2 linked regions of the Coturnix japonica genome follow. The protein of the gene in region 2 purifies or fractionates together with the protein of the main gene of each other region. This does not show direct contact. Links are inferred from orthologs where the notes say so. Each region holds a gene or a part of one and is shown on either strand. Other genes may lie near its edges.

Region 1 (5,443 bases), on a different chromosome or scaffold from region 2:
CAATACCAGCTCGTTTCATCTCCAAAATGCCTCTTATCCTTCAATACCGTAAGATTAACAGAAAAACACTCTTACCTTCTTCGAAGAATATCACAGAACAACAGAGGCTGCTTCTTCTGCAGAATACGAAGGATCTTCACTAGAATCAAACCCTGAATTAAAACTGAAGCTATTCTGTGCAGCACAAGTGTGTGAGGGATCAGCATATGAAGCATGTGTATAGGTACATGTATAAAATGTAAATGAAACTACCTATTACACTGCATCAACACTCTCCACAGCATGTAACTGGAGACGTAAAAGCAGCAAATAACGTTCCTCCTTCATTAACTGACTAATTGGGACCATAGTCAGTAAACTAGTTATACATGGAAAAAACCAACACCTGAATTTGCTGACTTTTCACACTCACTTACTGAGCTTTTCTCTTTAAAGCAATTAGAAAATGTCTGGTAATTTGTGCTTCAGTCAGTATTTCTTGTAATACACTGGAATAAAAGTGTTCAAGAGTTAGATTTTTTTTCCATTCTTTCCACAGAACACAGAAATTAATGCCTCATGCAATGAAGATTCCTTGCTCTACAGATTACCCCTCTGTTCAAAGTCCAGGACCAAACCATTTTCTAAGATTTACTCTCTCCTGGATTCGCACAGCAGAGCCCCACACGGCTGTAAGTCCCACTGCTTATACACCTGGATTCTCATACTGAGCTTGCAATGACATGCAAGAACAACATAAAGCAAATTTATTCACATCACATGGAATTTTATAAAATTCTAACATTAATTAAACAAGTAGGAGCCTTCTGCACCAGTTCCTAGAGCACAAGTCTTACCGTCTGAGAATTAGCAGTATCACAATCAATCAGCAGAAAAAAACCCACAAATTTCTTCAGAGAAAGGTAAGAAATAAAAACTTGTCCTCTTCAACATACACAGCATTTTCAACTTTTCCATAAATACACAACAAAACTCATGAAACACATTGGAAGCAATTTTCAGATGGACTGAAATATTTTTCTGGAAGTAGCAGAATTTGACTCACTTAAGAGACAGCAAGAACTATTTTCCCTTTCTAGACTTACTCCAGCTCTTCATTAATAGCATTCTCTCACTAGCTAGAAATAAGTTTCCAAATATTTAATTATAACTGAAAAAAAATTACAAAATACAAAGTTTTGCGGTACCTGGGACTACAGAGATGTACTACTTTGTTTTTTCAATTTCTTTTGAATTGGAGAAGTAACGACAAAACAAATGACAGAGAGAACTAACACGTATGATCTAGTTTCACCAAATAAGATTGAAGATTTAGATAGGATGTTTTAAATAAACGTAAAATGTCTTAGCCTGGCAGATGTCATTCCCACAGAAGTGCAGCATTCCTAGAATGAACTAATGCCCTTCAGTAACACAGAAAGTCTATCACTTAGGCAAGGTGGGACTTTTTAAGAGACCGAGTATTAGCATCTCTGACCATGGGAGTAGGATGAACCTTATTGGATCCTCTGGCAATTCAGAGCTCATCATGTTTTGCAAGGTCCATACTGGGTTTGATGAAGACTCCTTCCATTGCTTTCCAATAGTTGTGGTGATTAGCGGTGGGCATGCCATGAACTTCCCGTTGGCCTCTAATGGGATGGCCATATTGCTCCCCAGTGATTGAAAGGAACACCTCAGTTCCTACGTGCTTGAAGCGCACTGCATCCTCCCGCTCCCAGTGTGTCCCACTGCATTGCACAATCCATATATCGAGGTCATCTCCTTCACCATCATCACCAAAGGCACTTACTTCCTGTTAGAAACACAAATCTCCTGAAGTGAAAATATAAGCAAACACAACCAATGCACACACAAAAACAACAGCCACAAAGCCAGCAGAATTTAAAGGCAAGGATGCAGAGGAAAGAAACACGGCCCTGCTGTCAGCAGCAATTCAATCCAGAAGCAGTAACTCTGCGACTACAAACTCCACCACATAACCTGAGCACAGTGCCAACAAACCACAACAGACATTAGGAATTAAAGACAACTTGAGCACAGAGATCAGAGCAATCCTTCTGTAAAACAATTTCACTAATGGTGACATCAATTTGTAACTAAGTATCTAATTTTGTAGCACAATGCTTCACAGTTATCACTGCAGCTTTTAATCACAAGGTCCCAACATTTTAACTCATTAATTGTATTCCTTTTATTTTATTATATTAAGATTACAAGTTAACAACTATTTCGGTTTGCACTGCTGAACAGATGACTGAATGGCCCTTTAAAAAATAAAGACGGCCAACCACAAAGGCAAATAAATTCCTGCTAAAACAAAAGTTAGAGATCAGATTTTATTATGTGCCCCCACATAACTCCAAGTATTTTCATAAACCCGGTAGGCTCAGCTCCAACTGTTTAAGACTCAGCACAGACTTAAAAATCAGATGGCTAGAAGTGATTAACCACTTGAAAACAGAACTGCAATAGTTTGTACCTATCAAGCTAATAATATAGGGTCATGTTAATTCAAGCTTGTGCAGTCCGTGCAGTGTCAGTGACAACACACCGATTGAAAATCAAACTTGTTTGTTAGGAATATGAAATAAAAGTTTATACTCAGAACCACGCCTCATTTCAACAAGATAATAAGTCACAGACCAATCAGTCTCTAGGAAACCACTCTGCATATCCAGAGATGCCTTATTTCTGGCATCTGGTATCTAAGACTGATTCTTCAAAACCAAGAAATCTGGAAAGAGGTATTGTCAATTTCAATCACGCACTATTTGTACAAAAACTTATGATTTAGAGCCACTTACCTGGTTATTGGAGAGCGGTGATGGGAAGTGATGAGTGTGTAAGTTTTTTCCTGTGTTTACATGAGTAAGCCGTATTGCCTGCCCGCATCTCACTGGGGTTCCACGCTGGCAGCTGCCATCCGTCTTCCCACGAATCCGCCAGTAACTGTTGGCATCATCTGAAGCTTCAACTCCTGTCACTGACTGCTGCCCACTTCCTGTTGGAACAGAATTAAATGGCAGGAGACCTAACCCGCTTCTGGAGCTCAGAAAGTCCTGGAAGAACGGAAGGAAGCTGCTTTAAACTCGAAGGCGTGACAACACTACGAACACACTTCATTCTCAGTCCTTTTATTGACTCCAATGGGAATGCAGGTACCGTACCCTCCACACTGAAGAACGTAACCGAGGCCGCTGTCTCAGCACAGGGCTCACCTCAGGGAGCGCAAAGCACCACAGAGGCAGGAGATGCGGATCCAGCCGTACGGCCCTGCCGCCCCCCCGCCATGTCTCCCATCCCATCTCACCCCACCCCATCCCACCCCTCAGCCCCATCGCTGTCCCGGTAACAGCCCGGAGCAACGTGCGGCTCATTCCCCGACCCCCCGCAGCCTCCATTTCCCGCCCATTTCCCGCCCGTTTCCCGCTGCCCCTCTCCCGCCATTTCCTCTCCTCCTCAGGGCTCCTCCCGCCCCTTGGCAGCTCCCGGCCCGCTCGTGCTCACCGGAGCCGTACTTGACCTCGTGGGAATGCAGCCGAACGCTGTGCCGGGTGTTGAGCAGCTTCAGCACCGACCCGCAGGTCACAGCGCCCGGCTCCGTGCCGGCACACAGCGCACACAGCGCACACACAGTGAGCAGCGGCAGCAGGCGGCGGCCGCCCCACATCGCGCCGCCACGGCCGGCACCGCCGCCACACAGCGCAGCGCAGCGCGCTTCCGCAGCCCCTCAGCGAGCTCAGCCAATCGCGCCCCGCCAGCACCGCAGTCAACCAATTGCAGCCCTCCCTCCTCACGGTCTCCTTCTCGCATTGGACCACGGCCGACGGAATTCGCTGCTTGGCAGGAGGAGCTCATTGGGCCCGAGGAAAGGAGCGACCAATCAGAGCGAGCGGCGTGGCGCCTCTCAGGGCGGGACGCGATGGCGCGCAGTTACCTCACGGCGCCGTGCCGTACCGTGCCGTGCTGCGGGGCGGCCTTTGCGGGCCGTGTGTGTCCCCCCAGCTCCCAGCCCTCAGTGCGGCTGTGGGCAGCGCGGAGCGTTGCGATCCATCGAGCTGCCCCTTCCTGACAGCGGGGTGTCACAGCACAGGTTGGTTACAGCAGCGTTCTCATCTAGCGCGTAGTCGGGACTGTAAGGGAAATATTACCGGGTTACAGGCCTTGCAAGGAAACACAGACAACTTGTGTGGTAGCACAGCTGTATGTGAGAGCTGCTGGTGCTGGGGCAGCAGTACGGCACAGGCCGCTAACGCTGAGTGCTGTTCGTCTGGCTGTGGTGGTTGTGGCTGTGCTTTTGCACCTGAAAGTTCATCTGCTGCCATTCAGTCCCTTTTGTAAACTTACTACGAGGTAAAGAGATTATTATAACCTGTTATGTACAAAAGGAAACTGGATTAAAGCATTGTACTTCATTGCATTGTACTGCAGAGTGAAGGATTTCCTCCCCTGCAAATAATAACAGTACAGCCGCCTTTTTCAATAGGGAACAGCTATGGACAACGGACACAGGAACTCCTACAAAGTCCATTGGCTTTTGCCTCTGAAACTCATCACTGAATTGACCCGTATCTCAGAACAGTCTGGTGTAACGCTCCCCAGATCAGTGTCATTTAACAGGGGAAAAGCTTCCCTTAGCAGTGCCATAGCATGTAGGAGAGACCTGCCTTGGGATAAGGCATTGTATTCTGCATTGGCAACAGCACAGAACTTCAATATCACAATTATATCATCACGGGATGATTTAGAAAACACATTAGTGCTGCTGGCTGGTGGAAACATCATTTGATGCTCAGATGAGCAGCAATCTTTATCTCTTCCACCAGTCCTGAGGTGACCCCACTCACTGAATGGTCGGGTTTTTTTCATGCTGGCCTGTTTCATGTATCTTAATGTCCGGCCTTAGAAGAAGCCTGTGTCCCAAACACAGTCACACATTCACGTTTGTGTGCACACACACAAGCCCGCTGTGTTTATCTGAGGATTAAAGCTTCCTAGTTGCAGCAGTGTGTTTCTTCACACACACTAAATAAAACATCTTACCTTGATTGCCAAATGCTACATCTCTGTCATTCTAAGAAACCTTGCTAAGACAGGAGCTCACATTTGCAGTCGTTGTTACACACACGGCACAGACAGATGTCCAAGTTGCCATTTTAGCCGTGGAAAATCAATGGTATGCGGCTTTAGCTGGCACCTGTCTGTCCTCCTGGGAGGTCGCTCAGCCTCAGTGCAGTTAGTGCCACGTACACGGTGCTCCCTGCAATGCTTTCGGTTGTACTTTAGAAACGTCATTGGGTTAGAAGTGTCCAGCAGAGAACCCCATCAGTGCCAAATAGCAATGGCAATTAACAGCCACCTCATGGCTACAGGGCCACCATTGTTTCCAGTGGAATACTGTAAGCTGCAGGTAAACCTGCCACTGAGATAATCTAATGGT
Region 2 (5,524 bases):
ATGTAATAGAGCCCTGGTTTCTCAGTTCTTTAAGCACGTGGAATTCATTTATCTGACACATAGTTCATAATTATTAGCAATGACAGCAAGTTTGCCTACCAAGCTGAACCTGCTGAGTACAATAACTCCACACCAACTTCAACACTGACTCAGTTCCTATGGGCAGCAAAATTCAGGAGCAATCTCAGTCCTGAGGTAGAACAGTGCATCCCAATAGACAGCACTCAAGGTCACAAAGCTTCAGTTTTAATTCCTAGGTATTATCTTTGCTTTTATTCTCCACTCCACAGATTTCCAGCCAGATTTTGCCTTCCTTCCCTTTCCTGGCCCACTGGCTATTTTTTGGAAGGCTGAAGTTGCCAGGTTAGATTTCAGAGAGGAATGGAAACAGCTGGAGAAAAGCTGGTTTAATGATGAAAGGCAGCCTCCAATTGTAGGTAATGATAAATGCCAGCAGCAAGAGAGGTTAGAAGAAAAACAAAACAGTGACTTGAAGTACTGGCTTCACCTTTCCAGGACTAAAGGTTAAGAGCTCAGCTCTCCCTGTGCCGCCTAAGATATGCAACACAACACCCACCTGAGAAAACTGGGTTAAGTTCCACAGTCCATTAATAGACTACTAACAATGTTACAAGAAAGAAAGGAATAAAGAATACAAAATATTTGCTTTTCCATTCACTTTGCTTCCTTAGCAGGCTTCTGGAGGTTCAAGAACACAGCACTCCAAATACTGTATAGAGTTCTTGCCCATGTTAGGTTGCCTCAAAAGCAATGCAATTCAGCAGATAAGCTGAAAACCAAAACCAAGATGAACTCCAGCCCCCAAACCACCCTGACACTAACAGGTGCTACGTGAAGAAGCCTCTTAGCAAAAGAACTCCAGGTTTTATGCTGAAGAAATCAGGCTCTGTATTTTAGTAGCACCTTGGCAAGGGAAAGGAAGGTAAATTGTCACCACTCAATTTTTGCTGCCTCTGCCACTACGTCCTATACTGTTTTATGATTTTACAGCTGCTTCTTCCCTAATATTTTGCTGTAGGAAAGACCCTTTCAACTGCTTCTGTGGTAAGACATAAACTGGAACCCCGAGAACACATAAACGCTCCCTGTGCATTAAGCGCTGTCAAGTACAACAAGGCCCCAGCTCACATAAACTACACCAAGCCCACAGCTTTGAAGCATGAATCAGCCTTCAAATCAAAGACGGTAAATTCCGCATCTCCCACCAAAGAATTATTTACACTCACCAACTTTGTTGTGAGACTAAGTTAACTTATTTAAGAATAGAAGTCTGAACTAAAAGGAACTGTATGACGCACACAAAAAAGTTAATGTCTTTCTTCTGAAAACATTCAAGCTGCTTCTCACCTCACTTCCTCAGTCATTTTATATTTACATGCCAGAAGAAGGAAGCAGCAGCAGGGACAGCAGCAGGAACCTATGGCCACAGGTTCAGCTACAGCATCAGCCCAGGTAGGAAGATAATCCCTTTTACTCCTAAAGATAACAATGGGATACAGATTGTCCTATGGCCTGGCTCCTCAAAGCTAGCACAAACCTCCTACCTAAACTGACAGCTCTTCCTCAGGAGCTTTCCTCTGTTCTATGAGGAGAAGCAGGAAGAAACCAGCAGAAGGGGCCAGGTTCTTATCAGTGGTGTGCAGTGACAGGACAAGGGGCAATGGGCAAAAACTGAAACACAAAGCTCCATACAATCACAAGGAATAATCAATCTCTATGCTGTTGAGGGTGACAGAGCACTGGAACAAGCTGCTCACATTGGTTGTGCAGTCTCCTTCCTTCTCTAGAGGCGTTCAGAACCCACCTGGATGCTTTCTTGTGCAATCTACTATAGGGAACCTACTCTAGCAGGTCTGTTAACTAGATGGGACCCAAGGTCCCTTTTAACCTCTATGATTCTGAGATGGGAAGCTAAAGGACAGAGGACATGAAGGAAACACAGCCCACCATCCACAGCAGAGGGAAAAGCAGACTTTGACTTACAAATGTTGGGTAATAAAACAGTTTATGTGTGATTTATGCAGTGTGTGATGCTAGAAATATGAATTATTACTTAAATGCTATGCCTTAGGATAGATATAACAGAATTCATTAAGCATACGGGGCTTCAGCAATGACTTTTCACCCTTCAACATGTTTACTAGAAGGCGACCAACAGCCTTTCACTTCCTACCAGCCAAAACTTACAGTCACGCTCTACACATACAAACAAATGAGTTCCTGTGCCAACACTCACAGCTGATGCATTCCCTTTTTGTACTCAAACAACTATTAATAAGATCAAACAGCTCGAGCTCCGCACACTCCCCCAGCAAGGTGAACTGCTGCCCTTTATTGCCCTCAAACAAGCGGACTTCCCAGGTCAGCCTGGCAGCCTCTCTGCTTTGTTATCAGGCATCACACCTGAAATTCAACACAGCGTTTAACAGGTGAGAAGGGATGACAGCAGCGCCCCATAGGGAATCATTTATGTGGGAATTCGTCCCTGAGTCTTGACCTCATTGCAGCCTTTCAGTACCTGAAGGGAACTTACTCCCAGGAGGGGAGTAAACTCTTGGAAAGGGCTGACAATAGCAGGACACGGGGAAATGGTTTTAAGTTAAAAGAGGGAAGATTTAGGTTGGATGTTAGGGGGAAGTTCTTCACTAGGAGAGTGGTTAGGCCCTGGAACAGGCTGCCCAGGGAGGTTGTGGATGCCCCGTCCTTGGAGGTGTTCAAGACCAGGTTGGACGGGGCCCTGGGCAACCTGATCTAGTAAAGGTGTATGTTTGGTGGCCCTGCCAGGCAGGGGGGTTGGAACTACATGATCCTTGAGGTCCCTTCCAACCCGGCTCATTCTGTGATTCTGTGACAGCCGTTCTGGACCTGCACATTGCCCTGACAGCCACAGGACGGTGCCTCAACGCCTGGTCCAGCCCGTTGTACCACTCGGTTCCCTCCTGAGCCCCCTTCCCCGCCCACAGCCCATCCCCACCTCATAGGCAGCCCCCAGGTCCTGGAACTTCTCCTGTGCCCGCGGGTCGTCGGGGTTCCTGTCGGGGTGCAGCTGCAGCGCCAGTTTGCGGTACGCCTTCTTGATGTCCTTCACGGAGGCGCCTCGGGACACCCCCAGGATCTTATAGAAATCCCTCCTGAGGGGCGAGACAAGAGAGAAGGCCCCGTCAGCTGGGCCGGGCCGTGCGCTGTGGAGCCGCAGGCCTATAGGAAGGAGGGAGGGGATAAGGGAAGAACAGCCCCCCGGGAGCACTCACCCGGCGGCGGCCTCCCCGCAGAGGCAGAGCAGGAGCAGACACACTCGGCCGAGCCAGCCGGGGGCCATGGCCGGGCCGACAGGAGCCCGCCGCCCGCAGCCCGTCCCTCACACACGAAGCCGGCGCCCGGCCGCAGCCGCCAGCCAATGAGAGCGCGACCCAACCATAGCCGCCAGCCATTGGGGAGCGGCCCGGCCCCGCGCGGATCGAGCTGACAACCAATCGCTTGCGCACACTTCACCACCGCCTCGCGGCCGCGGCCCAATCGCATCGCAGAGAGCCGGAAGGAGAAGACGCCGACCAATCGCAAGGCGTGTCGCTTCTTCCCGCCTCCGCGCCGGCTCCGGTAGCCAATGGCGAGCGGCTCCCGAGGGGAGGCGGGAAGCGTCGTCTGGTTGGTTGGCGGTGCTGTCATGGCGGCCGCCGTGTCGCTATGGCCGCGGACGGAGCCGCTGCTGCTGGGCGCGCTGCCCGTGCCGCCCCCCGCCCGCTTGGGCCCACACTACCTGCGCAAAATGGCGGCGTACACGCGGGCGAGGGCGGCCGAGGGCTGTTACCCGCGGCTGAGCTGGCCGCGTTGGCGGTACATCGCCTGTGATAAACTGCAGCTGGGCCGCGACCTGGCCTGGCTGTACTTCGAGCGATTCCACGGCCTCCTCCCTCCTCCCGATCCGCCCCGCAGGCTGCAGCGAGCCGAGGCCGAGGCGGCGTGTGGGAACGGCGAGGAGCTGGAGCGGGAGCGCGGCAAGGCAGGGACCGGGGATGGGGAGGGAGCGGGGCGGCCGGCGGCACCTAACGGCATCTCCCCTCTCGGCAGCTCGCCGTGGACACGCTGCGCTTCCTGCTCTTCCTCTACCTGCAGCAGCTGAACAAAGCCTCCCTGAGGACGTCCCTCATCGGCGAGGAGTGGCCCAGCCCCAGGGCTAGAGCTGCCGGGCTGCCGGGCAGGGCCGCGGGGCAGAGCAAGGTAATGGGGCTGTGGGGAGGGGAGGCTGCTCTACTGGGCCTCCCTGAGCAGAGCGAGCTGCCACCCCTTATAGAATCACAGAACTGTAGGGGTTGGAAGGGACCTCTAGAGATCATCGAGTCCAACCCCCTGTCAAAGCAGGCTCCCTACACCATGTCACACAGGAAGGCGTCCAGGCGGGTCTTGAATATCTCCAGAGAAGGAGACTCCACCACCTCCCTGGGCAGCCTGTTCCAGTGCTCCGTCACCCTCACTGTAAAGAAGTTCTTCCACACATTTGTGCAGAACTTCCTATGCTGTACTTTCATCCCATTACCCCTAATCCTGTCCCCACACACTAATGAAAAGAGACCAGACTCACCACTATGGCTCCCACATCTCAGGTATTAATAAACCTGGATCAAGTCCCCTCTCAGCCTTCTTTTTTGAAGGCTAAACAGACCCAGTTCCCTAAGTCAAGGAAAATAGTGGAAATGGAAATAGTGGTGAGGGTGGTGACAGCAGAAGGGATAGGGACGGGAATGGGGATGGAAGTGGTGGTGGGGACCGGGATGGGGAGAGCGGTGGGGATGGAGCTGGCAGCGGGGATGGGGACGAGGTCGGAGCTGGGGACACCAGGAGGGGTAGGGATGGGGCCGGTTTATTTATAGCTGATAAATTTGATGTATTCCATGTAACTGTTGCTAAAACGTCAGTAGTTATATCCACGTAAGACACACCCATATATAACCTGGAGAAGGAGGCTGAGGGGAAGGCCTCATTGCTCTCTACAGCTCACGGAAAGGAGAGCATAGCAACTTTAGGTTTATTCTCAGAGGTAATGGTGATAGGATGAGAGGTGATGCCCTCAAGATTCACTAGGGAAGGTTAAGTTTGGATATTTCTTCTTGGAAAGAGCAGTGAGATGCTGCACAGGGAGGTGGGGCAGTCACCATCCCTGAAGGTGTTCAGACCTGTGGGGCTGTGGCACTGAGGGACGTGGGCAGTGGACATGGTGGAGTGGGATTGGTTACTTGTGAAGCATCTCTCATAGTCTTTGTGGTTCTCTTTTTAAGAAGCTGTAGCCTCTGCACTTCCTTTCCCTTTAAAATTTGAACTAACGCTTCTTTCAGAGGCTGGTTGGTTTATTGGTCCACTTGCTAGTGAAGGAATGACCCTCTGCTTTTTATTATTATTATCTCTGGCTCCACATCAGAAGCACTCAATCATAGCTGAAGGTCTGGAGCAGATGCAGTGATGTTTCCAACAGATGCATAGCAAGACCTTGGCTGTCAGTTACTGATTT

The links. The genes of interacting proteins can lie anywhere in the genome.
Region 1: the proteins of DNAJB11 (region 2) and SDF2L1 purify together in Homo sapiens (affinity purification with mass spectrometry; 3 studies listed by BioGRID and IntAct, counting the BioPlex papers as one, with this or other methods). This does not show direct contact. The link is inferred for Coturnix japonica from reciprocal best matches to the Homo sapiens genes DNAJB11 and SDF2L1.

Annotation. Positions count from the first base shown.
Region 1 is NC_029530.1:285,944-291,386, reverse strand, and holds the start of SDF2L1 (stromal cell-derived factor 2-like protein 1), read right to left. Parts: upstream 3,725-5,443; 5' UTR 3,674-3,724; coding exon 3,511-3,673; intron 3,005-3,510; coding exon 2,808-3,004; intron 1,796-2,807; coding exon 1,517-1,795; 3' UTR 1-1,516.
Region 2 is NC_029524.1:3,281,606-3,287,129, reverse strand, and holds the start of DNAJB11 (dnaJ homolog subfamily B member 11), read right to left. Parts: upstream 3,417-5,524; 5' UTR 3,341-3,416; coding exon 3,273-3,340; intron 3,153-3,272; coding exon 2,996-3,152; intron 1-2,995. Other genes in the region: TBCCD1 (TBCC domain-containing protein 1), read left to right, coding at 3,626-4,021, 4,090-4,239. UniProt on the Homo sapiens protein: As a co-chaperone for HSPA5 it is required for proper folding, trafficking or degradation of proteins.